Mus musculus: one gene and its partners. The protein of the gene in region 2 interacts with the protein of the main gene of each other region in a pairwise test. Links are inferred from orthologs where the notes say so. Each region holds a gene or a part of one and is shown on either strand. Other genes may lie near its edges.

Region 1 (7,510 bases), on a different chromosome or scaffold from region 2:
TAAAGTTTTATTCAGGATGAAAACTAGTTACGTTTGACAGTAACATTTTATATAAGAGACTAAACAATATGGGAGAGGAGTCCACATGGGAAACAGTGAACGTGGTCCCTAAGTACACTTACTTTTCAACAATTGACTTGGTCTGATCCCGGGCAATCCCAACATAGTGGTCAATCTGTGTCTTTAAGAAAGAAAGGAAGGAAAGAAGGCTCAGCTGGGCAATAAAGGGGCTAAGAAAAATTTCATACAATATATATTTTGGTAATATTCTTATTTCCCCCAAAAGGCACTATTCTCTTATTTAGTGCAAGTATTAAAAAATCCCAGTATTCATTATCCCAGAAAATAAAAATGATGTCCAGTTTTTCAGAAGTGAAAGTTCTGTTTTCAGATTTCAACAACACTTCAAAATAAAAATTACACATCATTTGTACAAGTAGAACTTATGTGGTATTTTCTGTAGTAACACTGAAGTACTTTTCTAAGTACTAGAAATTGCAGATTTAATCTATTCTGTAGTTGTGATGTGTTTTTGACTCCTGGGCATTATTAATTCATTTAATAATTAAGAGCCAAAAATATTTTTTATATGTGCATATTAGTGCATATGTGTATGAGTGTGCATGTGTCTTTGGAGGCAAAATTTTGATCTAAGGTTTCTCTTCAATTGCTCTCTATCTTGTTATTAACTAATCAATTTAATTAACTTAAAGATGAGGCCTCCAGTTTACCATGTAAATAAGGCTGAAGCATGGACCTCTCACCTTCCTGACTCACCTCCCACATGCTATGGATGCGCATCCCTAGACACAATTTACCTAGGGCTAGGCAAGTACTTCACCAGCTAACCTACATCCCTAGGCATCTACTTTATTTTTTGAGACAGTTCAGTCCCTCACTAAACCTATAGCTCACTGATTTGGTTAGAATGGCTGGCCAATAAGTCCCAGAGATCCTCCTCCGGGCTCAGGTTGCAGGTGTACATTTAACACCAGGTATTTTTATGTGGGTGCCTGAGATAAGAACTCAGGTTCTCATGCTTGTGTGACATTTTACCAACTGAGCCATCTCCCTGACACTCCCAAAAGGTCTTCAGATGCAGAGATAATCTACCCCGTCCACAATGGAAACATCTGCTCACACTAACATTTCCTTGGAAGTGCAGTTTAGTTTTTAGAAGATTAGCTTTACAAATCATCTTTTTTACCTTCCTTTTTGGAATGGGCAATTCATCCCTATGACTCAGAACATCTATCTAGGCCTCCAGTCTCTCTTGCTATCCGTTTTTTACTTTCCTTAAAATGAACTGAAGCCAGTCACACATTACTCAGCATATCTACCACAGATAAATGCCTACCTTATACTTCTCATAGACAATTGGGACGCTGAAGACAAGCAGCTCGGCTGTAAGACAATAAAAACACAGCAAGTGCAAACGTGAGACTCAAGCAGCACAGACACTTCTTCATGAAGTACAGAGAAACAATCAAAAAGGAAAAATAAGAGCTCTCGAAATTGAGGATAGCTGGGAGAGAGCAGATAAGGGTAGTGTTGAAAAACCCCTAACAGGCTATTTTCTTTGTATGACAGGTGTCAACTTCTAAACTACAAGTGGTTTCTAAAAGCAAGGTCCCCATATTTAAACCAAATTTAAACAGTGCTCTTTATTCACGGTTGCTTTGAAATCCTTTGTGAAAGCATTTAATAAGCTCTCGGCCACAAGCCCAGGCTACACTAACGTCTACCACACTGTAAATGCACAGGCTGGCTCTACAGAGTAAGAGATCACACTGCATACGTGATCTGTAGCAAAGTGCTCCAGTCCTCAGCTACATTGTTGTGGCTGTTCACTTTATTGATGGTTTTTATGTCCTCAGTGGGCCCAGAACATATTGTGAAGCTTAACATGATGCTGAATTCCTGACCTTCCTGTGTCTGTCTACCTAGTGAGGGCATCAGAGTTGTATGCACCATCATGCCTGGTTGCCCTGGACAGGGCCTTATTAGGTTAGCCAGGCTGGCCTTGAAGGATTGATTCTCCTGCTTCAGCTTCTTGAACAGCTTTGATTATTGGTCTGTACCATCTAGCTCAGCATTTACACTTAGTCTTTGTTTGTTTGTTTTTTTTGGTTTTTCAAGACAGGGTTTCTCTGTGTAGCCCTGGCTGTCCTGGCACTCACTTTGTAGACCAGGCTGGCCTCGAACTCAGAAATCCGCCTGCCTCTGCCTCCCGAGTGCTGGGATTAAAGGCGTGCGCCACCACGCCCGGCATTTACACTTAGTCTTACAAGTCTTTAAAGAAATAAGCACAAAGACACACTTTCCTTGTCACCTTACCGAGAATCAGAAGGGTAATTCCATTAAAAACAGCACCAACATAGGTCATCAGCCACATGAAGACAGCCAGCTGTGAAGGTCAGTGTCAGAGGGTTAAATAAGAATAAACATACCCCCGAGTTCAAGCTAACTAGGTTTGCATCAATGCAGTGTTTTATGACACAGATTCCCCCATGTGCACTTATAGTCAGAAAACTCACTGTCTTGGGGTCCATAATTTCAGGGTGCTGAGCTGATGACCGCTGGTCTAATGCTGGTCTAATGCTGGTAGGTGGCAGCATTTTCTGTTGATAGTTATTTTCTCTTTTCTGATAAAACCCTATATATGCCCTATTTTACCACCCCCCCTCGGGACAGGGTTTCTCTGTGCAGTCCTGGCTGCCCTCGAACTCAGAAGTCCGCCTGCCTCTGCCTCCCAAGTGCTGGGATTATAGGCATTCGCCACCACTGCCCGGCTTACCTCTAAATTAAAGCCCAGCAACTAACCTTCAAGGAGTCAACCAAGTCTTCTACCAGAAAGAGACGAATAATGAGTTTGAGGGCCTTGTTGACATGCACCATCGCAGCATTCATGTAGTTGTGGAAAGCTTCTGAAGACAGGGTAATGTCCACATCCAAGTAGGCCCTTCCGAGGAAGAAAAAACAGTCGCACATGTGACACACAAGGGGAAATTCTTCAACAGCACAGTGGTATTTTAGTGTGAAATCAGCATTCTAGAACTCTGTAGGGGACACAGCTGTCCTTTACTCGATAAAAGCTAATATGCCAGTTATCTATGAATGTACAATGAAGAACTATCTGGTGTAGATATATCAAAATACACTCTGTACATCAGATAGCAGAGGGCTTGCCTAGCATGCATGAGATCCTGGTTCAATCCCCAGCATTATAAAACAAGTAAAAACCAAAAATTCATTTGTGTGTTTGTGTGTATATGCATGTTGAGTTCAGAGAACTACCATGGGTGTCATTTCTCTGGCCCTATCCTGTCCTTCTCTTTTTCTCTTTCTTTAACAGTTTCCTACCGACCTACTGTCCAAATACACTGTTTTATTTTTAATGCACATGTGTATGTACGTGTGTGTGTGTGTGTGTGTGTGTGTGTAGTGGTTTGAATGAAAATGACCCCACAGGCTCATAGGCAGTGGTACTACTAGAAAATGTGGCCTACTAGGAGTGTGCTTTGACGTTTTAGGAGCTCAAGCCAAGCCCAGTGGTTCATACTGCCTCTTTTGGTCGCCTGTGGATCCAGACAGAGGTCTCAGCACCATGTCTGCCTGTACACTGTTATGCTTCCCACCATAACAATGGACTAAACTGTAGTAAACTCTGAACTGTAAAGGACTAAACCTCTCAAAAGTTAGTCCCAATTAAATGTTTTCCTTTATAAAAGTTGCTGTGGTCATGTTGTCTCTTCCCAGCAATAGGACATTGTCTAAAACAGTGGGTACACACATGGTGCACAAGTAGAGGTCGGGGGACAGTTTGTGGCAGTTGGTTCTCTCCTTCCACCATGTGGGTCCTAGGGACTGAAATCAGATTGTCAAGCTTAGATTGTCAAGCTTTTACCTGCTGAGCATCTTGCTGGCTAGGACCTTGTCTTAGCAAGTTCCAGAACACCCAAAGCTACGTAGAGAGACCTTGTGTCAAGCAATCACCATCAAAACAAAAACTTAACAACAACAACAACAACAACAACAACAAAAAAGGCCTGGGACTAGAGCTCAATGGTAGAGCACTTGCCTTGTATGTGTAAGGTCCTAGGCTCAATCTCCAAGCTGTGGGCAGGGAGCATAGTTTAAAAAAGCAAAGGAAAGACTGAGGAGGGTAGCAATCATGAATATGTTAGGGCTGCAAACTATATAACACACTGTGTTTTCAGAGGCTGAGATTAAAAAAAGGGTGGTGGTAGGTGTATAGGCAGGCAAAGGGTCTCAACTACATAGCCCCTAGAACTTACTGTATAGATAAGGCTGGCCTGAACTTAAAGAGCTCTGCTTGCCTTGGCCTCCCAAATGCTGCGATTTTGGCATGCCACAGTGACCATGTCTGGCATTCTTGTTCTGAGGGGTAAGCCTGTGCTCATAACCTGTTCATTCACACAACAGCTACTGAGCGTCTACTGCTTATCAGGTTTGAAGACATCTTGAGGAGCTCAAACTCTTGGAAGAGCAGAAGAGTAAGAGGCATGTGTTCATTTTCCTGTTTATAAATATAAAGGTTTTAAACATGAGATGTTTCCAGGTATGGAAGCAGAGGGAGGTGGGTTTCTGTGTTTGAGGCCAGCCTTATCAACACAGTGAGTTCTTTGCCAGCTAGGGAGACACACAGAGACCTTGTCCCACCAAAACAAAACAAAACAAACAAACCCTGTCTCCAAACCGTCCCATGTCTCTAACACCCCCCCTCCCGACAAAAAGATATCTGAGCTTGTAAAATATATTCACTAAGTCAACAATTACTATATTAATTTATAATTACAACCCGCACTCTAGTTCCAGGGGACCAGATGCACTCTTTTTGCCTGCAAAGGCACCACATGCATATGTTGTACAGGCATACATACAGGTAAAACAGCCATATACATAAATATTATTTTAAAGGGTAAAAATAACTGCCCCTAGACTCAGGGAAACTGCACTAGAGTTAAAGAAAATCAGAAATAAAACCCCCTGGTTCTAGAACTTGGAATTCAAAGCTGTTTCTAGCTGTTACTATATAGTACTGAAACATGGACACAATGGCTGACTGAGGGCTGCCCTGGGCAAGCTATTCTGTGCCCTGCTCTGGATTTATAGCTCTGGATTTATTAGCCTTAAGTGTGAGTCTCTAGTCAGTTAAAAGTTCTCAGATACTAACCTAATTACTTCTTAGGGTGATGGCAAGTATTTAGGGACTGCTTTTGCCATCTATCTGTAAGAGACAGGTTAGAACTTCAGACATGTGCTATCTCAGCAAACTTACTTGAATGGATGTCCTTCTTCTGACTTCTGCACAGCTTGAATGACAGACTTATAGACTCTGAAGCTGATGGTGACAGAGAGAAGAGCCAGGATGAGGTAAGAGACCACACTGATAACACTGAAGGCTGCCAGAGAGAGCAGCATGATCAGTGTGGTGCCAAAGACAAACCCAGTCTTCTTCACATCTCGCCAGAAAATCAGATCGTGCACTGCCAAGAGAGGGGGAATAGAAGTTAGAGAACCCAGGACCACCTTGGCTGTGCTGTGCTTTACTGGCTGCCATCTATCTCCCTAGTATCCTGGCACCTCTTTACTTTTGATTTTGTTATTATGGGTTGTTTTTTGTAACCCAACCTTTAACTCCTGATCTCCTACGAGCTGGGATTGTAGGCCTGTGACACATATCTGACTGTTTTTATTCTTAAGACACAGGGTCTTGCTAAACTGTCCAGCCTTACAAAAATGGACAAGGCCTCTAGAGTTGGACAGATGAGAGTCTGAGTCTTGGCCATTTCTACCTGTGCTACTTTTCACCATTCTAAGCCATTCTCCATTGTAAAGTGAAGAAAATGGCACCATCTCCCTAAAGCTGTTTCAAGTCCAGTGCAGGTAGAGTGTATTATTACCTACATGCAACAAACTTATGTGATTTACTAGGAAGGAGAGGTTTTGAGATTCCTGCTGGGAAACTGAGTTCCAGGTAGTGGATTTTGCAAATCGGGAGAAAACAGGGTTCCAGTCAGGTGCACATGATTGAACTGAGCCGATACAGGGAACTGCATGAAGGAGACCTAAAAGGGCCAGCGCTAAGCAGGGTAATTCCTATAGTCAAAAGTCAGGCACACACCTATGTCGAGTTCTCATGTCTATAAGTATAGTTTCAATACAGAATGCAGAAAGGTTTCATGTCATCAACCAATCAAACAAATTGATGATATGTGCCCCAAACATGTACCTTTTTAAAAAGAGAAGGTAACTAGACAAACTTACCTGGAGAAATGTCCTACAAAATAACTAATCTATATTCTTAAAAACTACCAGTGTAGGGCTGGAGAGATGGCTCGCTGTTAAGAGCACTGGCTGCTCTTCCTGAGGTCCTGAGTTCAATTCCCAGCAACCACATGGTGGCTCACAACCATCTGTAATGGGATCCGGTGACCTCTTCTGATGTGTCTGACAGTGACAATGTACCCATATATATAAAATAAATAAATATTCAAGGAAACAAACAATTACCAGTGTAACCAACAGCGGACTGGAGAGATGGCTCAGCAGTTCCAGAAGACCTGAATTTAGCATCCACAGATTGGCTCACAACGGTCTGTAACTCCAGTTCCAGGAGAGTAACAGACCTCTTTTGGCTTCCATAGGCACCAGGGACACACATGATGCATACATACATTCTTACTTATAGGCAAACACTTATATAAATAAAATTAATAAATCTAATTTTATTACACAGAAAGAAAATAAACGGATTTCTACATTTGCAAAGTTGAAAAGAGCCACTGTGTCCTCATGGACTTTACTGCCACCTGCTGGAAAGCTGTTATACAAGATAGTCAGATGTACAATTCACATGTGACTAGTGCCCCTTAGAGGCATGCAGAATATAAACTGCATAACAATACAGAAAAGCTCTAGGCTCAACCAGTGGAATTTTGGGCCTAGACCAGAAAAAGGGCATTAGGGAATGGCAGATAAAGGGCAATATTGTGCTACACCTCAAACCTCAGTTTGCAGCTTTGCTTCATTTGGCCTTGGCCTGCAGTTACTTCCTGCCCTACACTCTGTATCCCATCACTCTGAATGATCTTACAGCTTTGTTTCTTCTAGGAGCACCTCCACCTCGTTTATCTTTTATAGACTCTTCAGATCTGTGACAGAACAAACTCATAACCCAGAGCCAGTGTGACTACAACTTCCCTTTGTTTCCTTATACTGTTCCTCAACATGGAAATTTGCCAAATGTATTCAGTACAGACCACCAAAAAAAAAAAAAAAAAGACTCTGTGTGTTTGTGTGTGTGTGTGTGTGTGTGTGTGTGTGTGTGTGTGTGTGTGTGTAGGGGTGGCAAATCATTTGGCAATGTTTACCTCGCTGACTCTCTGGTAGAATTAAGAGACAAATGTGACAAAAGGGTAGCTGTCAAAGTCTAATGTGAAGCCTTTAGAATAGATGTTCAATCTAGCAAGAAGCCACAGTAGTT
Region 2 (8,219 bases):
TTCCAGATATTCAATAAGCTGTGGCAGAAAGACCCCAAGTCACAAAATAAAAGAACTTACATTAATATTAAAAGTGCAGAGGTTGGAGAAGTGAGTCAGTCAGTAGTGGCTTCACTATAGAACACAAGGCCATCAATTCAATACCCAGGGACAAAAAGAGAACAGCCTACTGGGAAGTGGTTGTAATCTGGGTTGTAATCCCAGGAAGAATAAAGGTTCTACTAGAACCTGAGTTCTCACAAGATGATGGTTATAAAAGGCCAAGACTGGTTCCTACTTCCTCCCAGGTTCCTTGTCTCACCATGTAATTGTGGTCCTCTAGTCCAGGCTCTCACCACTGTGACATTATCTACAAGGTTTTTACCATGGCCAAGTAGATGACAGATGCCATGCCTTGAAACCACCATCACCAGAAGCTTGATAAATCTTTTTTCTTTTGAAACGAAACAAAACAGACTAACCAACTCATAAAATCTCATTATCAAGCTGGATACCAACATATCTGTACTCAACAAGAGAGATACCCTCCTGTTTCTGGCCTGTGCACGTACACAAATCTTTTTTTTTTTTTTTTTTTGAAGAACCATTTTGATTTCATGATATAAAAGCAGCTTGACACGGCAGACTATGAATTAAAGTATGATAATAAGATCCAGATTCCTTTATTTTGACTTAATACCCTTCAGAATTCCAGTTAATCTATCACACACTTTCATTCACATTACCAATGTGTCTAAAGATCAGCTTAGTCATCTTAACTGATGTCTGCACTTTCCTCAAATCAATCTCTAAGTTTCCTTAGAACAAATGAACCATTCTTTCTAGAAAAATGGTCAACTGATGTCTGCACTTTCCTCAAATCAATCTCTAAGTTTCCTTAGAACAAATGAACCATTCTTTCTAGAAAAATGGTCATCAAGTAAAAGGTACAGGTCTCAATACATTACAATGGAGATACTGCAATTCAGGAAAACTATAACTTACTAACTGAAGGATATCAGAGTTAAGGAAAAAAACTAATGTAAATAGCAGTGTTAAACACAGTTGCTAGGGGTTTATATATAGCCTCTCCCAGTTTGTCTATTCTAACCATGGACAGAGTGCTTTCACCTTTGTCTTTATTATAATCATCTATAAACCTTCAAAACTACATTTTTGCTCCAAAATCACAATGTAATTATTCAAGTAGCATATTCCTAAAATACTATTTCTGTAAGCCATACTTATTACCGTGACCCCAGAGGCTCCTAACTACCTGACTCTGCATAAGTTTTCCTTAATAATCTTAGTTAATAAACAAGCTCACTCCTGCTTCAGGGTCTTTGCCCTAGGAATTCCTTTATATATATATTTTTTCTCTGCAGCTCAAACCTTAGTTCTTTTTCCTATCATCAAGCAACCTTGAAAAGGGTCCTCATGGGGCTGGAGAGATGGCCCAGCGGTTAAGAGCACTGACTGCTTTTCCAGAGATCCTGAGTTCAATTCCCAGCAACCACATGGTGGCTCACAACCATCTGCAATGGGATCTGATGCCCTCTTCTGATGTGTCTGAAGACAGCTACAGTGTACTCATATACATAAAATAAATAGATCTTTAAGAAGAAAAAAAAAGGGTACACATGTTTCAGTTATTCTCATCCCTTCAAGCTGTTATCGTTTCATAACACCATCATTTTTAGTACTTTTTTGTGTGCTTATTTTGTGTATTATCCCCATGAGGAGAGCATGAGTCTTGCTTACTGCCACACCTTGGAAGCCCAGAACTTTGTAAAGTGTCCTAGATAACCAATAATAGGGACCAGCCAATAGCCAAACTCTTCAGTGCATTAAGAAATCTAATGTATTGCGATGAGTTAAATATCAACAACCACAACTCACTGTTGTTGTGTTCAATAAAGGGAATAAAGCTTCCAAAAAACACAATGAGTACAAAATTCCTGGGTAGACAACATTCCTCTTTTGTCTTCTAAACTTTGTTAGTATTTCTAAATCTTCTAAAATTTGTCAGTATTTCAAGAAAATGCTGATGCTGCCTGAGTCCCCTCCATATTCAAAGGACAAAACTATTTATCTTGTTTCTATGAAAGTAGAAAAAATGAAAAGTATAGTTTGGCCAATCATTGTTTCCAGTTTAAAATTTTAATACTTTATTTTTTTCTACTTTAGTTTCCCTCAAAAAAAAGGAAAGGAAAATAAAAATGAAAAGACAAGGCAGTCTTCATCTAAATTCTTTACTGTAGGAGTTGTTTTTGAATAGTGCCTTTGGTGTGCCCATAATGAATTGTTACCCAGGATCACTTCTATTGATTCATTATCCCCATTATAAGAGAGTTAATTGTAATAAAAAAGATACTGCAAGCTCTGGGGTGATATTATTTCTCTAAAAAAATAAAACCTCCTAGATCTGGAATGTTGTGAAAATTTCCCAGCAGGCAGTTATACCATTTAATTTTTTACCTTACTTTACAAAAAGAAAAAAAAGGCTTTTTGCTAGCAAGACACTTTGTCCCAAAGTAATAAACTACTTAAGATGCATTCTCGTTCTTTACAAAATTTGATTTTTTTCCCTTTCCAAAATAAAAAGGGCAATAAAACAATATTCAATGCATTTTGTCAATGTAAATCATATACTTATAAAAACTTCTAACTAATATAGGAACATTTGCCCTAAAACATTTCATTATGTCTCAGGATAAATCTACCACAAGTTCAACTAATTCCTGACCAGGAATCCACAGGTTTGCCCCTTTTTAAGGTCAACCATTTTGCCTTTTCTCTACAAGTCAATCTCGATGCATTTAAAGGCTAAGAGATGCCATTAAATTTGGCAATTTCTTTTACAGCACAACTGAGGCCCTGGATAACTATGCCCCATCGGAACAAAATGCCCAGATCTCGTTTCTCAGGCTGGTGTAGGAATCACCACATTAAACACAAATGAACTGGGCGGTGGCAGAACTTCACCAAAAGTCTCTCCTTCCCTTTTCTCCTGGAACCACGCCACTGGAGGCGCTCGCTCCCCCTTCACCGCAGTTGGGTTACTGTATAGACGTTAGCAGCTCGGCCAGTTCCCCACCAATAAAGGGAGAAAGAAACAGGGGATTAGTGCAAGGGGATCCCCCGACGCCCGGCAGGAAGGAAGGCAGGCCCTAAAAAATAAAAAAACTGTAGAGTGGTCGACAAACGCCCATCCTTTAAATAAAGGGATTAGGGCACCACAGCCTTCCCATTCCCACCTCCAAGCCCAGCCCAGCCCAGCCCAGCCCAGCCCAGCCCAGCCCAGCCCAAGGAATCCACCATCCTAGTTCTTCAACACACTCCTAGCTGCTGATAGGCGAGAACTTCGTGCTGGAATGGGAACCAGCGACTTGGCAGCGGTGCACGTGCTCCCCGAAACCCCGACAAACAATGAAGGCACCCAGGCTTCCGAGGCCGCCCCACCCTTCTGCCCGCCTCCCGCCAGCGGGGGCGCCATCACCCTGCCACTCGTAGACAAAGCCCTAGGGTCCCGAGCAGCCCTGCCCGTCCCCTCCTCCCCCGGGCCAAGACACAAAAGAGGGAGGGGCGTAACGCGCAGCAGCACTCACCCACTGAGCCCGAGCCCCTGCGCTTGGGCGCGGCCGGCGTGGAAGGGGGCGCGGCGGGCTCCGCTAGGGGGCTCGCGCCGGCTGGCGCCGGAGGCCGCGCTGGAGGCTCGTCGTCCTCCGGGAGCTTGGAGGGCAGGACTGCGGCAGCGGGCGGCAGGGATGGCGCGGACGCCGCGGGGCTGCGTTCCCAGGACGGCTGCCTCTCAGGGGCGGTGGGGGGCGCGGCCGGCAGCGGCCCGCGGGGCGCGGGGGGCACCGAGTCGCTGCTGAAGTCCAGCAGCGGTGCGGCGGCGGGGGGCACCGGAGCCGCGGACAGCCCGGCTGCGGGCTTCCTCTCCAGCACCTCCAATTCCTCCAGGTCCTCGTCGTCCTCCTCCTCCTCCTCGTCTTCCTCGTCCTCCTCGTCCTCGGGCTCCGTCACGAACTGGTACTTGAAAGCGGGCGGGGGCCGGGGCGGGCTATCCGCGGACGAGGAGACCAGCGACGACTGGTCTATGTCTTCCATGGTCGGCGATGATGCTGCAGCTACTGCCGCCGCGGGCCACTTCTCCTCAGAGCCGCGGGCGGTTGTGGGGGTTGGGCAGGACTGGCAGAGGCCGGGCTGGCCGAACCAAGCCGAGGAACCCGCAAAGGCGACAGCTCCAGGAACAATAAGACTTCTCCTCCTGCCTCCGCGCTCGAGATGCGCCACCCGCCCTGTCCTCAGTTGCAGCAGCCGCCGCCGCCCAGATGAGCAACTGAGAGAGGAGGGCAGACTCTCCGCCCAGTTTGGCGTGACTCACCTTCCCGGCAGGGGAGGGCTGGCTGGCGCGGGGGACAGAGAGCCAATAGGCTGCGGGATAGAGAAGATGGATCACGGGGTTGTCCAATAGAAATAGGGTGCAGGCGGAGCCTGCCATACTTCCTTGGTGGCGTTCGGAGGGCGGGGTTTGGAGCTGGGATCCACCCCCACCTAGTGTAGTTGGGGAATGGGGCGGGGACTTGGCCTTGCCTACAGCGGGATTTTAGTCTACCAAAAGGGGGCGGGCTGCGGTCCCAGGATTTGGAGAGTTTTCCAAGAAGCCTGTGGAAGGGCGTTATCCTGGGGACCTAGGAGTGGAAAGTTTCCTCCCCGAAAAGGGAAAAAAAAAAAAAAAAGTGGAGAAAGGTACTAACAAGACTGAATTAGGTCTTACGGATTTTTTTAGATAAAAGACTTATTTTCAGACATGGTCCCAACGCATAACTACCACCACCTCAAAAGGAGAAAGAAAAACAAAACATTTATTTGACACTTTCAAGTTCCCTCCCTTTCTAGACTGCAGGCCTGGAATGAGGTAGGCAAAACAGCTGTGCTAGATTACCCGGAGCTCTGGGCTCACTGTTTAGAATGCTTTCGGCCTTGCATTCTGCTGGACTCTAAAAGTGCACGGAGAATGAGTCACCAGAAAGGGAGAAGGGGGAAGGAACGTTGAAATAGATGCCTTGGAAGGCAAAATTGGTTCACTATTTTTCACTCACCTCAGGCTGATGAGTCAACATCCCGGATGATTCAGGCTTCCTAGGAGTCGGGAAGCCCTACACTCACTGGTTTGATATGCTGGAATGGCATGTCTCCTGATGTGCGGTCCCCCCCACCCCCACCCCCCCAAAGCTACACTTTAAAGAAAACGGTAGCCAGGTGTGGTGGCACATGCCTTTAATCCCAGCACTTGGGATGCAGAGGCAGGTGGATTTCTGAGTTCGAGACCAGCCTGGTCTACAAAGTGAATTCTAGGACAGCCAAAGCTACACAGAGAAACCCTGTTTCAAAAAATCAAAAGAAAGAAAGAAAGAAAGAAAGAAAGAAAGAAAGAAAGAAAGAAAGAAAGAAAGAAAACGGTAGAACATAGAAAACTTTGCTTCAAGGTTTGCAGAGTCCCTTTATCTTTCTTATACACTTTTCAAAAATACTGGCTGCATGCCTACTCTGGAGAGAGGATTGCCTGCATTCCAATTGTTCAGTCTACATGTGCACTGTCTAGTACTGAAGCAACTGGCTGCTTTTAGCTCCTGAGCACTGAAATGAAGTGTGTTCTGTGAATAAAATACACACTACATTCCCAGAATTTATAAGAAATGTTATAATTTCTGTTTCACATTGGTTTTATGTTGGCATTGATAGTATTTTGGATATAGTGGGATGAGTACACTATATTATCAAGTTCACTTGTATTCTTTTTGAAGCAGCTTGTAGAAACTTTTAAATGCATGTTCTAATAACTAAGATATTTGATTGCCATGGATTTTGTTGGTTTTTAAGCAAATTTGTAGTCCCAACAAAGTAATATCACCCTAGATTTAGTTTAAGTTTTAAGAAAGAATTGGGTGGGGTGGATGTTGGTGAGGGTTGCTGGAGAAATGGCTTTAACAAGACCTGAGTTCTGTTCCCAGCATCCAAGCAGCTCATAATCACAGCATACACACTCACACACATCTTTTTTTAAAAAAAACTTTTAAAATGTAATGGGGCTAGAAAGATGGCTAGTTAAGAGAACTTACTGCTCTTGCAGTAAATAAACAGCCCAAGTTTGAGTCTAAGGACCTACATGGTGATTTCCAACTCTCCATAACTCCAGTTCCAGCAAATATGAAGCCCTCTATGACTTCCTCAGGAGCCAGGCACCTGCGTGGTGTCCCACATATACACCGCATAGCATTCATACACATTCTGGTCCTATTCATTCTGGAAGAAAAGAGACATTGAAAGAGACACCTAACTATCCCAGCCATAGTGATATTCTCTCAAAAAATGCGACTTCATCCTAGAGCCAATATACAATCATGAAAAATAATGTGTCACTGTTGTTTTAAACCACTGCCTTTTTAGGTGATTCATTACATAGCAAAAGTTTCTTGAACTAGTATCCATTCTGTGTTTGCATTTTATGCTTTATTGGTTTATACAATGCATTAGGTATGTACTCTATACCAGCACCAAACAAAGCAGGTGCAAAGTTTGTCTATACATTTTCAGGTAAAGGAAGGGTCACTACTCAGAAGAATAGGCAGTTCCAGTGCTATGGTATTAATACTATTGCAAAACACTTAATCACTACCTAAACTCATATGTGGAACAGGCTACATTTGCCTTCTATCATGTATGCCCTTTGAAAAAGTTAAAGGGCCAGAGATGGATATATATATATATGCATATATATTGGAATATGAAAGATGGGTTCCAACATAAAACCTGTTTCAAGAGCTTTCTGCCATAGCTCTTTCACCTACTGAAAAGGACTTGTCTTTTTTCAAGTGCACTGCTGAGTTACATGCATTCTTTGTACTGGAACAAAACAAAACAAAACACTGAAACATAATTTTTGGCTTAAGTGGAAGTTGTAACAGCTTCCTGCATGATTTTCCCTAACACTTCCCTGGTTTTAGGTTCTGTATATATAGAATTTTATGAAATGTAGCTTTGTAATCCTGGTTAATAAATGTCTTGGTTCAAAGTACATTCATTCACTACTAAGAGTAAAAACAGAAATGAGATCAATTTCTTCAGTCATGTTTATAATTAGTGTTGGACCTAAAATAAAAATTTAAGTCAGGAAAAGGAATCCCACTATCCAAATAGCCAGGAAATGGCTATTTACATATCTACCAACAGATGAATGGAGAATACAGAAGAAGTCCTGCACTTGGGAGGCAGAGGCAGGTGGATTTCTGAGTTCAAGACCAGCCTGGTCTACAGAGTGAGTTCCAGGACAGCCAGGACTGCACAGAGAAACCCTGTCTCAAAAAAACAAAACAAACAAACAAACAAAAAACCCAAAAACGTCCTGCTATGATGTATGAAGCTTTGTCAACTTCCCTGTGACAATCCACCTGTGCTAAATGTCATGTGTAATAACCAGGAACATCAATGAAGCTCATATAAGGGTTGGGTTTCCAGGAAAGTAGCCACTGACCCATGGCCCTGAGACACATTTTGAACAAACTGGATGCTGATATTGTCCGTCTCCAGGAGACCAGAGGGCCCAATGATATACTAACAGTGAATATTCCTAGCTGTTGTTGCGAGCAGGGACTCCTGTTTCCATATCAGCAGTAGCTGTAAAGATTGCACTGCTCCAGTGGCTGCTGAAGTCCTGAGTGGTCGGTCTGCCATCCAGAACAGGGATGTCCATTGCTTCAGAAACACAAATGAGTTCACCAAAGAGGATCTTCCCACACTGGATAGTGAAGGCCAGGCCCTCATTGCACAGTACATGGTAAGAGAAAGAAGACCTCTACCCTAATTGATATGTCCTGCCCCATGTGCATTCTGGGAAGCCTAAGAAGCTGAGGCTTCTTAAAGTCAAGTTTCTATGGGCAGATCTGAGCAGAAGCCTGCGCTAGCCATCATGTGACCATTCTCAGGGATCTGAATATGGCCCAACATCTCAGTCACTATTATGAGGCAGGCAACCTGGTATTCTTTTAAGGAAACCAGGGCAGAATTGAATAAGTAGCTTGCTCAGTAACCTGGGTACCAGGCCCCACATAGGCTATTTACCAATAGTTACCACTGTTCCTGCCAAAGCAGGAAAAGGCCTTCAACTACTGTTTGATGCTCAGTGGTAAGAGGCATCCCAACTACAACTCCTGGCTTGATTGCAGGCTCAGGCA
Region 3 (8,107 bases), on a different chromosome or scaffold from region 2:
CAGCACTGACCATGGTTTTCATCCTTGTGTAATTTCACTTATCAGGTAAGTCTCTCACCTCTACTAGACATTGCAATTTATAGTGTTAAGGTTTCTAAAAAATATATTTATTTTATCTATGTATGACTGACTGTTTTCTTATATATTTGCATGTGCATTAAAATGTAGCAGATCCTCTAGAGCAGATGGTTGTGAGTCACCATGTGGGTGCTGGGAACTGAACTTGGGTCCTCTGGAAGATCAACAAGTGCTCTTAATGCCTGAGAAATCTCTCCAGCCCCTAGCCTTAAGTTCTGTGAAGAGACAAAAGAGCCAAAGTCTTGGCTTTTAATTTCAGAAGCTCAGGTCAACTACAAGACACAGATTTGCAAGAATGTGGGATGTTAAAGGGTCTGTTTTCCAGACTTTTAGGAGCGGGACTTCCTGGTCTTTTGAAAAATGGCCTTCATCATTGTTTGCATAGCTGTGAAGAGATACCATGACCAAGGCAACTCTTATAAGGATAATATTTAATTGGGGCTGGCTTACAGGTTCAGAGGTTCAGTCCATTCTTATAAAGGTGGGGAACATGGCAGCATCCAGGCAGGCATGGTGCAGAAGTTGCTGAGAGTTCTACATCTTCATCTGAAGGGCGGTAGGTTAAGACAGCAGGTTAGGAGGAGGGTCTCATTGCCCACCCCTACAGTGACACACTTACTCTAACAAGGCACACTTTCTAATGGAGTGGCACAAATAAGAAGTGGATGTCCAGGTAGACTGTGACAGACTCATCGTAGGTCATATGACAGGTTTTGTTTGTTGGCTCACTCTGCAGAGGTCCTTTCAGCACGTGGTAGACGAATTTGAAATGTGGTTACAGGTCAGGAAGTGACTGAGCAGGTAAAGACCCCTGTACTGAAGTGTAACAATCAGAGTTAGATCCCTGGGACCAACATGGTTAAAGGAAGAACTGACTCTCCACACACTGTCCTCTGACTTTTACATGCATGCTGTGGCATGTTCCCACACTAATAAAGAAATGTAATAAAAACATTTTTTTTAAAGGGATAGTTGTCTGGTCTATGAGAATAGCCTTGATGCTCTATAGACTTTCCTGTCTGTTCAGAATGGTGTGGGCAAATACTCATGTGTTTCCCTTCAAGGGCAATGGAAAAATTGAAGAGAAAAAGACTTGTGAGGAGTTTAGAGGTGGGTGACAGGGTGGGAAGCAGTGGCTGTCCCATGCATGAACTGGTAACTGGTGGCCACCCGTGAGTGAGATCTTCAAAGTGTGCCCAGGGGTGCCCAACATTTTGACACTGTGATGCTATTACACACACACACACACACACACACACAAAATCTCATACTTTTAAGTCAGTTTACAATCTTGTCTTTGACCACATTCAGAGCTCTCTTTAGCTGCATGTGACCTGTGGCTGTGTGGTAGATACTGCTATAGTGCTAAGGACAGATGGTACCCGATGCCTTTCGGTACACCTCCATGTTACCCAGTGCTTACCCCCAAACTTGCTTGTAACCTCTCAAGTGGGAGAAGGGATTACCACAGACAAACCTGGATTCATAGAATTGACTCCCTGAAATCAAACTTCCTAACAATGGCCACTTGGGTCAGAGGCTAAATTTGATTATACAGAAGAAAAGAATATATTTTTTTTCTTGAACACATTTGGATGTGTGGATTATCTATCTTATAGAACAATCATTTATCTCATGACAATAAACCTCATATCAAGTCCGCCCTCCTGAATCTCCCTTCATTTAGTGCCAAGCCTTCTGAGACTGTTGTCACACGTAGGACCTCCAATCTTTAAGTCCACTAGTTTCTTAGCCCTTTCTAGGTGTCGTCTGGTTCTACTGCCCACATGTCACTCATGAAACCCAGGCTTTGGGTCATCATTATCCCTCTTATAATTTAGAAAAACACTTTAATGACTAAAGAGCTTCACCAATGTTCTGCCCCTTGGAGCCAAACCCACCTCTCTACCTTGATGATCAAAATAGCTTAAGATGAAGATTTTCGAGCTTCAGACAGGTTCACAGTTCTTGAGGCGTTTTTAATGCTCTTCTTGTGTCTCTTTGTTTGGGGACCTACCATCACCACCGAGGGTTGTTAGAACTAAAACATGAACCTGGTGTCTATGCTTGAGAATCACATGTGCCGTAAACAGATTAAAATGAAAGCCGCAGCCAGCAGAATGTGGATGCGGTTCACCCTCATCGTGCTGACTCCCTCACCTACATCCTGTGGACTGATCAGAGAGGACCCTTTTGTTGTTTTCCGGTATTTTCCTTTGCCCACCTGGTCAGACGGCAACTGTTTCTGATTCTGCTTTGCACCTGAATTCTGTTGGTGCCCAGCGATGCCTGAGATGACGCCCACTGGCATCCTTACTGTTTGGGTTAAATGAGTGGCCTCAAGCCGACCAAAGGCATCGTGCCTGCACAAACAACAACGAAAAACAAAAACCCAATGCCTTCCCGTGCTTAGGCTTTGAGTTTGAGCCACTTGATGCTTCCCCATGTGGTGGTGGTTTCTCATTTGCTACTGGTCCCTAAATATAGCAAGGATCTTTCAGTAATTGGTTTATAGCATTCAACAAGATGTACTGCGAACAAACGCCCACAGGTGGACTCATTTCAAAGTCCTTTTAACCGCGATGGTCCTTGAGGCAATACTGATTGCTTTTCTCGTGGAGCTGGTCCTTTAATACAAGTCATCGGAGCCGCCTGTGGTCTGGCTCGCAATTATCCACTCGTTAGTCACCCATCCTGTTCACATCTAATTAGTTAATTGGCCATTTATTCACTAACTCATTAATTCACGCAGGTTTCCAGTTAGAGTCCTCCATTAAGTCGCTTAATAGAGATCTGATAGCCTACTACACACAAGGCTCTATTTTCACCTTGGAGACAAAACAAGAGGATGAGAGGAGTCTTGGTCCTCACACACAGGAGGCACCTGTGTGATCCTTGCTTCTCTCTCCCCCACCTGCTCCCTGCTTTGCTCCTTTGAGCTAGGGCTCAGGGTCGACATTGCTGGAAAGAAGCACCAGGCCCGGATGAATTGAAAAAAGCAAGGCAGGATACCAAGTGTTTGTTCAGCGGGAGAATAGAGCGGGCAAGAAACCTGGAGAGGAGCGGGCCAGGTTGCTAGCTGCTTTGTCTTAGGGAGGGATGATGCTACGGGCTGGGCAGGGCAGGTTCGGTGGCGGTCGGCTCCGCTAGGGTGTGGGGACGCTGGCGGGGGCGACCCAGCTGGCAGCCACCACGGGGCTCGGGGCGGCGCGACGGGGGCGCGCGGCGGGAGCGTCTGTGCGCGTCGCGGCCCTCGAGCGCGCGGGGCCTGTCGAGAACGCGCGCGGCCGGGCGCGGCGTGGGTACCCCAGCCGCGGGCGGCCGCCCTGCAACCCCCCGACGCGACCATGGCGACTGACAGTAAGTGCGGGGTTCCCCGGGGGCGGGGGCAAGGCATCCGGGGTGGCAAGTTCTCCTCCCGCGCGCGCCTGCCTTTGTGCCCAGCTCGCGGGGGCAGCGACCGGGTACCCCATCTCCGGAGCCCGCCCTTGTTACCGTGCCCATCACCTGCTATGGCTGACAGGACTGGATAGGGTTGGGGATCCGAGGACCTCTCAGGAGGGATGCAGCACCCGACTGGAGGGGACACTTGATGCTTGAAGGCAGCAGGGCTGGGCCTCGCAGCCCTTTGGGGACTGCCTCCAGGCCCACAGCCAGTTTTTAGGGAGCCCAGTATTGGGGCGCTGTGAGTTCAAGGTTTTCCTGGAGTTCTGGGTCAGATTGGCACGCCCTCTTCCTGGTGGGTGGCCCCACTGGGCTCTGTTCTGGGGCTCTGAAGCCACAGACCTTGCCTGGCTGCCATGGAGAGTGAATGAAAGGGGCGTGCAGAGAAGGAAGGTTGACACCGAAGACTGGAAGAGTTGCAAGGCTTCAGGCTGGCCTGCTGTTGGCATCTTGGAGTCTTTGCTGCTGTTTTTGGAAATTAGGGTTACCGCTAAGAAAACTGGTTACATGTAGCTGTAGCTTGACCTGTTAGTGGAACCTCAAAAGGAGTGCAGAGTAAAATAAGTCACAACACTTGTCTTAGACTTAGCATCTAAAGTCCTCAGCAAAAGTCATGGCACACAGTAGGGACTTCATTCACTGAATGTACCATGTGATTACAGACAATAATAAGGCAATTTTGAGAGATGAGAGGGGACAAAATAGGTGTTGAGGGTCAAAATTTCATTATTTTTTCCTTCAAACTTATCATTATTCAGTCAAGAACACAGCTTGCATACAGTACAGAGGATGCACAGTTTCGAGTTAAAAGCTATGATGACATTTTTATATCCCAAGTCCCTCAGTAGTGGGATTGTGGCCCTGTTCCCAACCTTAAAACTGTGGCTGTTGGATTTAAAGGCTCAAGTCAGTAATCCCAGGACTTGAGCGGCTGAGGCAGGAGGATATCAAGTTACAAACCCTGTTTCAAAAAAAGTATATGTATGTGTAGATTATGTGTATACACATGCGTAGTGAGCCTGCCATACCCGGGAAAGTGATGGGTATCTATCTCATAAGTAGTAGGCATGCAAGAGAAATGGACATGTGTGTGGTTGCTCACTCATCTCCCATTCGCCATCATTTCGTTTGTGTGGCGACACCAATGGACCCTCTCTGCTTTCTGTAGATCAGGGGGTGGCACAAAATTAACTACTAGAGACAACCCTTTTTGCTCTCAGCTCTGCTTCTATGGACAAAAGTATACACATTAGGTAGGTCTAGGGGGAAGAAGCTATACATTTAGATTTTTATTAACAAAGAAACAATTGCACTTGCCCTTATTTGTGTAAATGGTAACTAAAGAGTTCCAGCGATACAGAATTTCTATCTTCAGTTCTTCAGGTAAGGGGATGTCAGGTGAGAGGCAGGGGGACGGGGAACACCATCACACAGTGAGGAGATGGCCTCACTAAGATGCATCAAACCTGGGTACAATCTGCCTCGATGTTGCCTGATTGCTTTTGTTTCGGGGTTCTCGCCTCCTTACATTTCTCCTTGAGGGAAAACCCAGCTGTAAAGCCAGGCAGAGGGCAGCCTGTTGTGCTCTGTCGTTCTTGGAAGGGATCCCAAGGAAGCTTCTCTGTGATTATAGCTTGTGAGTATAGGTAGGACACAGAGGTATTTATATATATATTTGTCTGGAAAACAGTCTTTACACACAAAAAGGATGAGAACTCGGAGAGACTGTCCTGTGTCCAGACGCAAAGTCATAGATTGAAGGGCAGTTTCAAGAGAAGTTGGGATACTCAGTTGGTTTCCAGTAAGTTATTATGAAATGGTTACGCGCCTAGGTGTGCGTTGTAAATGGTGCTACTCAGAGGTATTTTGAGCTATGTTTGAGGTAATGGGTAATTTTGTTCCAAGTAGTTTCTATTTGTCTTTCCTGTGTGGCATTTGTTGCATTATCAATACTTTTTATCAAGGATCTTCACTTTTGAATCACTGTTGCCTGGTTGTTTTGAAGGTGCCTTTTTATATGTGCATGCTCATGAGTGCACATGGGGGGTGTGTGTCTATAATCTATCTTTAAGCATGCATTTTCTCAAGGGGCTGGAGAGATTGCACTTCAACTAAGTGTGTATTCTGCTCTTCTCAAGGATCCAAGTTTAACTTCCAGCATACATTTTGGGTGGCTCACAGTCACCTGTAACTCCAACTCCAGGGGTTTCAACACCCTTGTCTGGTCTCTGAGGGTCTCTGAAAATACCCCCTCATAAACACACAGACACATATAATTTTCAAAAATAAATCTTTAAAAAAGAAAAACATTCAAGACACATTGTATGAAAGTCTTGAGTAAATAGAATATTACTAAAAAAAAAAAAAAAGAAATAAAAAGAGTAAACTCTCCAGGACAGCAGGCATGCTTTGAGTGGTTGGAGATAGCTAACTGAAGTGTGCCCCCAGAAGTCTCGGGCAATCCTTGGGCTGCTGGATCTCCAGAGGTGTTGCAGTAAGTATTCTGTATCTTAAGGAGTTTCTCTGGATTGCTTGGGTTGTTCCTGGTCCATTGCATGGATGCTCATGAGTCACCGTTGCCTGGTCCATTTAGAAGCCGATTGCTGCTAACCCACAGGCAGGCAGTCTCTACCAGCAGTCATTCCTCCCCACTCCCCTTTCCATTTCCCAGCAACCTGCAGCTACTTTATCCTCATCTTTTCAACTCCATCAGCAATGTCTACTCCTCTCAGTGTGGAAGGAAGTGAGTGAGTCAGGGCAGGAGGAGGTAAATGCGGAGCCCTAGCAGGAAAAGTTGGATTTTTACTGCCAGATGGGTGCTTGACACGTTCTAGTAGAACGTGTAGACTCTAAAAGAAAGTTGCCTGAGTGCAAATAAGTTCATTATTGAGTAAAACTATCTTCAATCCCAGTAATGACTGAGACAAATGATGACAACTATAACTTTAGGCAAAGAGGTAGAAAATTACAGCAGACCTGGAAACTTGGACAATTCATTGGTGGTGCTGTCTTCTGCAGAAAACATTGTGTTCTAATAAACACCACAGCAATAATCAGTTCAAGCAAGAATCACCTGTGGCTCCTGAACACGCGTGTAAAGGGAGCAGTGTGCTGCTGGCTTTATGTCAACTTGACATAAGCTAGAATCATCTTAGAGGAGGCAACTGCAATTGAGAAAATGCTGCCCTGAGATCTTCATTAGTGATTGATGGGGGAGGGCCAGACCCATTGTCTATTGGATATCCCGTGTTGGTCCTGGGTTCTATAAGAACGTATTCTGAGCAAGCCATGGAGAGCAAGCCGGAAAGTAGCACCCCCTCCATGGCCTCTACATTGATTGGCTCCTGCTTCCAGGGTCCCGCCCTGTTTGACTTCCTGCCCTGGAGGATAAACAGTGATATAGAAGCATCAGCAGAGTAAGTCCTTTTCTCTCCAACGTGCTTCTGGTTGTGGTGTTTCATCACAGCAGAAGAAACCCTAAGGCAGTGGAATACCTAAACTCTTAGAAGAATTCCCCCACCGATATCTTGCTAGTTGTAAAAACAAAATGGTAGTTTTATAGTGGAGGAACCTGAGATACATTATCTTAAATAAAGAATTGCAACAACCTGCTGTCCTGATAGGAAGCTCTGGGGAAGGACAGGGTGCCGCTTACCAAAGATGTACGACCTGATTCTAATCACAAGGAGACGCCATTTAAACACGAACGGAGGCACATTTGTAGATATTAATGTCACGGGAGACTGCGGAGGCTTTATCCATGCTAAGGAGACAGCCAGGGCAATGGAGGATTTGAGGTTAAACCCTAGATCAGGAAGATCAATGCTGTAGAGAACAGTGTTGTGTTTAAGTATCCCATTTGCCTTGGGGCTTCTATTGCTGTGCTGAAACACCATAACCAAAAAGCACTTTGAAGATGGATCATGTTAATATAGGAGGCAAATAGCATCAGTGTCAAGTTTCACAAGTTTTATGTTTTTATTACATTTATAAGTGGAATGCACTTCTTGTTAGGGGAAGATGACATACTTAGGAAGAGGGGGCATCTATCTGCAACTAAATCTCGTGTGTTGAGGAAACACAAATATCTATGTACATGCGTGTTTATAAGTATGTGCGCGTCACATGAGCAAGAAAGGGCTAATGCAAGCGTAGCAAGATGTCACTTGGTAAGACTAGCGATCTCTTGTTCTTGCAATTTCTCTGTAAGTTTTTTTTTGTTTTTTTTTTGTTTTTTTTTGTGTATCCTAGCTACTCTAAACTAATGTTTCAGAGTTTAATTTTTGAAAGGTTCAAAGTTATGGACTCCTAAATTTGGTTTGGCTCTTTATTATGGAAAACGTTATATGCACTGAAATATAATGGACCCCCATGTACCCGAGTGCCTCCGTATTCACAGGTTATCTTTTTACATCCATTGCCACACTCTTAATTAATGCAGGTGTTTAGAAAGCAAGTCCAGACATGGTTACATTAGCTGTTGAGGGGTCAGTGTGCTGTGTGCACATCTCCTTTCTGTACTGGGCTTATACCTAAGTGACACTCAGACAGGTGGCAGCCTTTGGGGATGGTTAGTTAGTATGAT
Region 4 (7,191 bases), on a different chromosome or scaffold from region 2:
CCCCTTAGGGCAAGTGTGTGTGAAGCATCTCTGCCCGCTTCAGGTACTCGGCTGCCTTCTTCTTCACACCTTCCCGGCGGGCAGGGGATGGGTCACCTGGAGGAAGCAGATGGCCCACCTACATTCAGAACCCAGGTCATAATGTGTCCTTTCCCTCCCTGGGTCCTCCTGTCTTTGCCTCATTTTATGAGGCTATTAAAAAAAATAAGGGAAAATTCTGCCCAGTGTCTCCAGTTGACCTGTGAGAAACAGATGTTCACGGTCCCTCTTTCTTTCTTTAGAATGTATTGTATGTGTGTGAGTGAGCACGGGAGGGTCAGCGGGCAACCTTGGGTGTAGGTCTTCCCCTATCACCGTGTCTGTCGTCTGTCGGAGATAAGATCTCTCTGTTCTCTGCAGCCTATGCCAGGTTCAGCTGCCCTCGAGTTTTTGGGGATTCTCCTGTCCCTGCTTCCCATCTTGTCATGGGTACGTTTGCTGGAACCGTCTCTGCTGGTGCACACTGTTATGTGTGGCTCTGGGCATTTAGTTCAGGTCTTCTGCTTGCACGGCACTCACTTTACCGACTGCACCACCTCCCCTGGTCCTTTGCTTTCTACTTTCCCTCCTCCCTACTGCCCTACCCACCTGAGACACCCTGCAGAAGAATGTGCACCCCATCTTGGTAGCCTTGGAGAGCAGCAGCGTAGGCGCCAGCCTTTTCATTCCGCAGGGCTTGAGTGATGAGCTCTGTGGCCTGGCCAAGGTAAGCTGGGGCAGGCTCTCCATCCTCAGCTTCTTCCTCCTCCTGTCCTCCTGGCTCCCAGGGTTCCTGGTCCAGCCTTTTGGACTCTACCTCAATGGCTGCCAGCTCACCTGTGTGGGTAGGGCTGGGGCCTGTACTTTCTGTAATAAAACAGGGAGGAGTGAGGGCAGACTGGCCCTCTCTTTCTCAGGGCCTGTTGCCCACCCCAGGACACCAAACTGTCCCACTGAATTCACTTGAGTAGAAGGAAGCAGCTGGGATCTGTTTCCTTGGTTTGGCTCAGGAGGTTTTGTAACGGCTTAGTGGATTATTACTGCTGCATGGGAGAGTGCATGCGTGAGTGCATGCGTGAGTGCAGGTATGAGTGCAGGCGTGAGTGCAGGTGTGAGCATGCCATGGCTGGAGGACAGGTTCTGGGTTGGTTTGTTTGTTTTAATCATTTACAGTGGAATCTGGGATGGAACCAGGTTGCCAGGTTCATAAGGTAGGGCTTTCACCTTCTGAGCCATCTTGCTGGCCCATGACCTTGAACTTCTGGTCTTTCTGCTTCTGCCTCTCAAGTGCTAGGATGCAGGGTGCGTGCCACCAAGGCCAGACACAGCAAGTCTGTGAGCAATAGGACCCTATGGTGATATGCTACCCAGAGTTTGCCCGGAGAGGAGGACTCCCTCCATCCTCCAGCTCCATCCTCCTGGGCTCCTCCCAGAGCTGCTCACAGCCACAGAGGGTCTCCCTTCACACCCCTTAGTTCCGCTACCCCACACCTGCTCCTTACCCTCTTTGGAGTAAGGGTCGAAAAGGGCAAGTTCAGCCTCAGAGAGGGGACCTCGAGCCAGGGAGCTGGAAGCTTCCTCCGTACTGTCACAGCTGAAGAGAAGGTCCAAGGCCTCCTGGGCAGGGCTGGACGGGAGGGGATCCACTGAGGAGAGACCAGAGGGACAGATGTCTGTACCTACTGTTGCTCCGATTTCAAAACAGTCTTGATTAGCCCTTGCAGCAGCCATGGGTATTGACAGGGCCACCAATAGGTTGCCAGATCCTATCTGATAGGTGAGCAAACTGAGCTCAGAAGGGAAGATGACCTGTTCAGAGGTCCTCCCCAGGAGGACGGTGGGACTGCCCACCCCTATGTTTTCCCCTGTGGGAGGAGGACTCACTCCTTCCCTGACCCTGAGATACCTGGCACCTCCAACTCCTCCTGGCCCCTCCTTTCCGCAGGCAGCGGCTGAAGTAGCCGGGCCTCATCCGGAGGTGGTGTGGGGATGAGAGGGGGTGGCAGGATTCGCAGGTCCCTGGACACCTCAGAGGGCCGTGTCACCTCCCCGCCCTGCAGGAGACAAAGTTCAGCAGGGGAGGGGTCAGGAATGTGGCTGGCAGGGCGGGAAGCAGTACAAGGGAGCTGACTGGGGGCGGGGGTGGCGAGCAGACAGACTCACCCGGAAAAACTCCTTGAGTTGGGGGCTGTTGTTGAGTGCAGGGATGGGCACCGTGAAGCGCAGCAGGTCCTCCGCGCCCTTGCGCCGCTCCTCGATCACAGAGGCTTCAAACCGCCCTGCAGACCCCAGGGCAGGAGAGCAGCAGTGTGTGTATTGGTGTGGGGTGGGGGGGCTTCAGGCTCGCTCTCTCTGTTCCCTCTCTGTCTGTTTCTCTCTCTCTCCAATCTCTCTCTCTCTCTTGGTTTTTTTGAGACAGGGTTTCTCTATGTAGCCCCGGCTGTCTTGGAACTCAATTTGTAGACCAGGCTGGCCTCGAACTCAGAAATCTGCCTGCCTCTGCCTCCCAAGTGCTGGGATTAAAGGCATGCTTCACCACGCCCGGCTAATGTCTCATTTTGTAATTAGCTGGCTTTTGAACTTGCTATGAAGATCTCAAACTCACGGAGATGCACCTGCCTCTGCCTTCTATGTGCTGGGGTTAAAGGTGTGGGCTATCATGTCTGACAGGAAAGGCCATTTGAGGCTTGGATACGATCAGGAGGGCAGTGAAGCTCAGAGAAGGAGGTGACTTGCCCAAGGTCACAGAGCAAGCTGTCCCACTGCTGGGCAAGGTGGGGCTCACCTGTTAGCTTATACTTGGGAATCTAAGGTAGGAGGATCGTTAGAAGTTCAAGGCTAGCCTGGGCTACATTTGAGATTTTTTTTTTGTCTCAAGAAAATGGAAAAAACAAAAACTGAAGCAAACCAACAACAAATGGCAAAGCTACATGTAGTATAGGCTAGCTCTACCTTAGTTGTTGTTGTACTGGGGGCACAGCCAGCACTCTAGCCTACTCTCCATGATGGTCTCATTGGCTTGGGGTGGCCTGCCAACAACACACTCTGAGAACTCCTGTAGTTAATGGGTGAGTGGACTCTTGGGTTCTCTGCTATAAAAGCTAACTTGGGGGCTGGAGAGATGGCTCAGCGGTTAAGAGTGCTGACTGCTCTTTCAGAGGTCCTGAGTTCAATTCTTAGCAACCATATGGTGGCTCACAGCCATCTGTAATGGGATCTGGCGCCCTCTTTTGGTGTGTCTGAAGACAGTGACAGTGCACTCACATACATACATTAAATAAATAAATAAATAAATAAATCTTTTTTTTGTTTGTTTTGTTTTGTTTCAAGACAGGGTTTCTCTGTGTAGCCCTGACTGTCCTGGAACTCACTCTGTAGACCAGGCTGACCTCAAACTCAGAAATCCGCCTGCCTCTGCCCCCTCCCCCATTAAATTAAATTAAATTAAATTAAATTAAATTAAATTAAAGGCGTGCGCCACCACGCCCGGCAAATAAATAAATCTTTAAAAAAAAAAAAGCTAGCTTGGTGTTCTGTCCCTCATGTCCTCCTTGACTCTCTCCCTGCTACCTTAGGCCTCTGCCAGCAACAGAGCCATCAGCAGATGTGGCCTCTGAACTTTGGAACAGAGCCATATGTCAAAATAAGCATCGTTCCTATGGTAACTAATGCATCCTCTGTGCTATCGAAACAGAGAACAGACTAAGGCTCAGACAAAGGCCTTTCACCTTGACGAGCCTCATCTTGCTGGGACTGTTCATAGCCCGACACACAATAAAGGGGAGGTTGCTCAGAGTCTCACTTTCCCCATATTTCAATGAGGCCATCTGAGAAGGCCCATCTAGTTTTCCAAAGATGGCTGTTCAGGGTACAACATCACACTCACAGTTCCCACCAGACCAGTTCCCTGCTGCCCGCACACTGGGGCAGAGAGGTTCAGAGTCAATACTCACCAAACACCTGGGCACGGGGGAAGGCCGGAAACTCCTCTAGGCGACGGAAGAGGTTTCGGTGAGTATAGGCCAAGTCCCCGTGGAGCTTACGGAAGTCGCTGTACCGCTTCCAGACTACTACCTGTGAGGCAGTTGAGAACTGACCTGGACCAGCACGGTGGAAAGTGGCCTTCCCACACTAAGTGTATCCTAGAGTCCGAGAAGGACTGCACACACCCTCTCCAGCACAGGTCAGGGAAGAAGGCTGTCCTTGGTTACCAGCTCTTCCCTTACTGATGCTGATGTGTACAGGAACAGCCCTTCTTCCTGGGAGCCACACTCACCTCTTTGATATCCTCTGGGTCCTTCTTTGAGATGAACTGAGAAAGGAAAGGTGGGAGCCAGGTGAGACCAGAGCCTGACAGGCAACACTGCGCCACCCCTCACAGTGTCTTTCAGAATAATGGGCATGCTGGGATAAATGGGCCTGGATTTAAGGCTTGGAGCAAGTTTTCTTTTGGATTTCTGCATGCAGGGTTTCATGTAGCCTAAGATGGCCTCAAATTGACTGTGTAGCAGAGGCTGGCCTTGCACTCCAAATCCTTCGACCTCTGCCTCCCAAGTGCTGGGATTACAGCATGCACTACTAAATTAAGCTATTTTATTATTTGTTTTTGATACTAAGGATTGAACTCAGGACTTCTTGAGTTACATCCTCAGCTCCTTGAGAAAATTTTCCTTTGTATAACTGTATCTTTATCTTATAAACGTGAGTATACTGAATGTCTAGATAGCCCTATACTCAACTTTTATTTATTTATTTATTTATTTTGGTTTTTTTGAAACAGGGTTTCTCTGTATAGCCCTGGCTGTCCTGGAATTCACTTTGTAGACAAACTTTTATTATTAATTATTATTATTATTTTAAACCTTTTAACTTGTTGTTGTTGTTTTCGAGACAGGGTTTCTCTGTGTATCCCTGGCTGTCCTGAAACTCACTCTGTAGACCAGGCTGGCCTCGAACTCAGAAATCCACCTGCCTCTGCCTCTCAAGTGCTGGGATTAAAGGCGTGCACCACCACTGCCCGGCTACCTTTTAACTTTTTTACTTGTATTTTTTTTAAAATTAGCAGTGCTATCTGCATGTATACCTACATGCCAGCAGATGTTTTGTGAGCTGCACCACCATGTGTTAGTTGGGAACTGAATTCAGAGCCTCTGGAAGAGCAGCAGTGTTCTTAGCTGCTGAGTCATCTCTCCATCATCTCCCAACTTTATTATTTTTTTTTAATTGGCGGGTTTTTTTTCCTTTTTTTTTTTTTTTTTTTAAGCAGTGACAAGGCTCCCCTCTGTAGCCCTGGCAGGCCTAGAACTGCCTAGAACCTGCTTTGACGGTTAGGTTGGCTTCAAAGTCACAGAGATGTGGCTGCTTCTGCTTCTTAAGTGGGGTAAAGACACTCACCCCTAGGCTTGGCACTCAACTTCTATCCCAGTTCCTCCCTAGGGCCACGTCCTGGTATTCAGAAAGGAAAACAAAACAAAACAAAACAAAACTATGCTTCTCAGGAAATGAGAGTCTAGGGGCTGGAGAGATGGTTCCTGGAGAGATGGCTTGGCAGTTAAGAGCACTGGCTGTGTCAAACACCGATGCACAGAAAATAAAGTAAAAATAAATAAATCATTTAAAAAAAATGAGAGTCTGTCCCAGGATCCAGTTCTTCTTAAGAGAGGAGCTACGGGCTGGTGAAAGGTCCGGAGTTCAAATCCCAGCAACCACATGGTGGCTCACAACCATCCGTAGCAAGATCTGATGCCCTCTTCTGGAGTGTCTGAAGACAGCTACAGTGTACTTACATATAATAAATAAATAAATCTTTAAAAAAAAAAAGAGAGGAGCTACAATGTCTCATACCCATGAAGACAGAGTTAGCAGTGGGGTTGGGCACTCTGGAAGAACAGAATTGGCCCGAGACAGAAGTAACACTTAGTTTTTGCTATTATGCTTATGGGAGTTTTACAGTAAGGTTGTACAGTTTAGAATCAACAGTTTTCAAAACATCCTTTCCATTTTTTTTTTCTAGATCTCAGCAAACCAGACATGATTAAGATGCCCATTTAAAATCTAAGGATGGGGACAGGAGGGGTGGCTCGGTAGTTAAGAGCATGACCTGATCTTCCAAGCACTACATTCAGTGCCCAGAACAGTACCCACATTATGTGGCTCATAATCGTTTGTAATTCTGGCTCCAGGGGATCAGATCTGATGCACCTTCCTCTGACCTCAACAGGCATCCACACGCAGTTGTGCTACACATTCACACAGACACGTACATCAGCCAGAAACAAGGAGAGATGATTCAGCAGGTAAAAGCACTCGCTGCTGTAGCCAAGGACCTGGGTTTGGTTCCCAGCACTGAGATGGCAGATAGAAATAATTTCTAAGTCCAATTCCAGGAGATTCAAGACCTCTTTTGACCTTTGATCTCACCAGGCTTGTATTTGGTACATAAACATACATACAGGCAAAATATTCATACATATAAAATTAAATAAATCTGGAGCTGGATCGATGGCTCAGGTTAAGAGCACTGGCTGCTTTCTAGAGGACAGAAGTTCTATTCCCAGCACCAACGTGAGGGCACACAAGCGCTTGTAATTCCAATCAATAGGGATCTACCACCCTCTTCTGGCCTCCTTTGGTATTGCATGGAGAGTGCACAGATGTTTTTGTTTTTTAAAAAAACAACTACGTTTTAAATCTTTAAGTAAATAAGCCAGGAGGGGTAGTACACATTTTTAATCCCTAGGGATGCTGCACTGGGGAGGCAGAGGCAAATGGATCTCTGTTTGAGCCTGGTCTACAACACAAGTCCCAGGACAACCAGGGCTACAGGGAAAAAACATGCCTCGAAATAAATAAAGAAAAAAATTAAGTAAATAAATCTATAAAATAAAAAAAGGATCATCTTGTAGGGTGCTGTGGCAAGAGAGAGACATGGAGAGAGAGAGAGAGAGAATGAGAGAGAGAGAGAATGAGAATGAGAGAGAGAGAGAGAGTTCTCTAAAATGTGGGAGGCCATGAGTTCAACCCTAGCACTGGAAAAAAAAAACAACTCTATGCATGTGTAAGGCATGTGACTAGATCTAAAAGGCTAACAGGAAGACATAAGGGTTCTGAATGCCTTGTCATCCTTTCTACCCTCCGGCATCTTCCTAGAGACAATTATTATATTTGTATTTT

Evidence for each region.
Region 1: the proteins of Rtn4 (region 2) and Rtn3 interact in binary tests that used the Homo sapiens proteins (3 or more experiments, as listed by UniProt). The link is inferred for Mus musculus from reciprocal best matches to the Homo sapiens genes RTN4 and RTN3.
Region 3: the proteins of Rtn4 (region 2) and Syt16 interact in binary tests that used the Homo sapiens proteins (3 or more experiments, as listed by UniProt). The link is inferred for Mus musculus from reciprocal best matches to the Homo sapiens genes RTN4 and SYT16.
Region 4: the proteins of Rtn4 (region 2) and Snx15 interact in binary tests that used the Homo sapiens proteins (3 or more experiments, as listed by UniProt). The two-hybrid records come from large-scale screens. The link is inferred for Mus musculus from reciprocal best matches to the Homo sapiens genes RTN4 and SNX15.

Annotation. Positions count from the first base shown.
Region 1 is NC_000085.6:7,429,629-7,437,138, forward strand, and holds part of Rtn3 (reticulon-3), read right to left. Parts: intron 5,511-7,510; coding exon 5,303-5,510; intron 2,963-5,302; coding exon 2,824-2,962; intron 2,408-2,823; coding exon 2,338-2,407; intron 1,405-2,337; coding exon 1,358-1,404; intron 182-1,357; coding exon 123-181; intron 1-122. UniProt on the Homo sapiens protein: May be involved in membrane trafficking in the early secretory pathway. Inhibits BACE1 activity and amyloid precursor protein processing. May induce caspase-8 cascade and apoptosis.
Region 2 is NC_000077.6:29,689,062-29,697,280, reverse strand, and holds the start of Rtn4 (reticulon-4), read right to left. Parts: upstream 4,384-8,219; 5' UTR 4,093-4,383; coding exon 3,588-4,092; intron 3,508-3,587; exon of another isoform or gene 3,476-3,507; coding exon of another isoform or gene 3,319-3,475; intron 1-3,318. UniProt on the Homo sapiens protein: Required to induce the formation and stabilization of endoplasmic reticulum (ER) tubules. They regulate membrane morphogenesis in the ER by promoting tubular ER production.
Region 3 is NC_000078.6:73,994,426-74,002,532, forward strand, and holds the start of Syt16 (synaptotagmin-16), read left to right. Parts: upstream 1-3,351; 5' UTR 3,352-3,425; coding exon of another isoform or gene 3,426-3,438; intron 3,439-8,107. UniProt on the Homo sapiens protein: May be involved in the trafficking and exocytosis of secretory vesicles in non-neuronal tissues. Is Ca(2+)-independent.
Region 4 is NC_000085.6:6,119,859-6,127,049, forward strand, and holds part of Snx15 (sorting nexin-15), read right to left. Parts: intron 4,331-7,191; coding exon 4,295-4,330; intron 4,093-4,294; coding exon 3,972-4,092; intron 2,298-3,971; coding exon 2,182-2,297; intron 2,073-2,181; coding exon 1,925-2,072; intron 1,665-1,924; coding exon 1,521-1,664; intron 1,352-1,520; coding exon of another isoform or gene 1,302-1,351; exon of another isoform or gene 936-1,301; intron 886-935; coding exon 628-885; intron 97-627; coding exon 5-96; 3' UTR 1-4. UniProt on the Homo sapiens protein: May be involved in several stages of intracellular trafficking. Overexpression of SNX15 disrupts the normal trafficking of proteins from the plasma membrane to recycling endosomes or the TGN.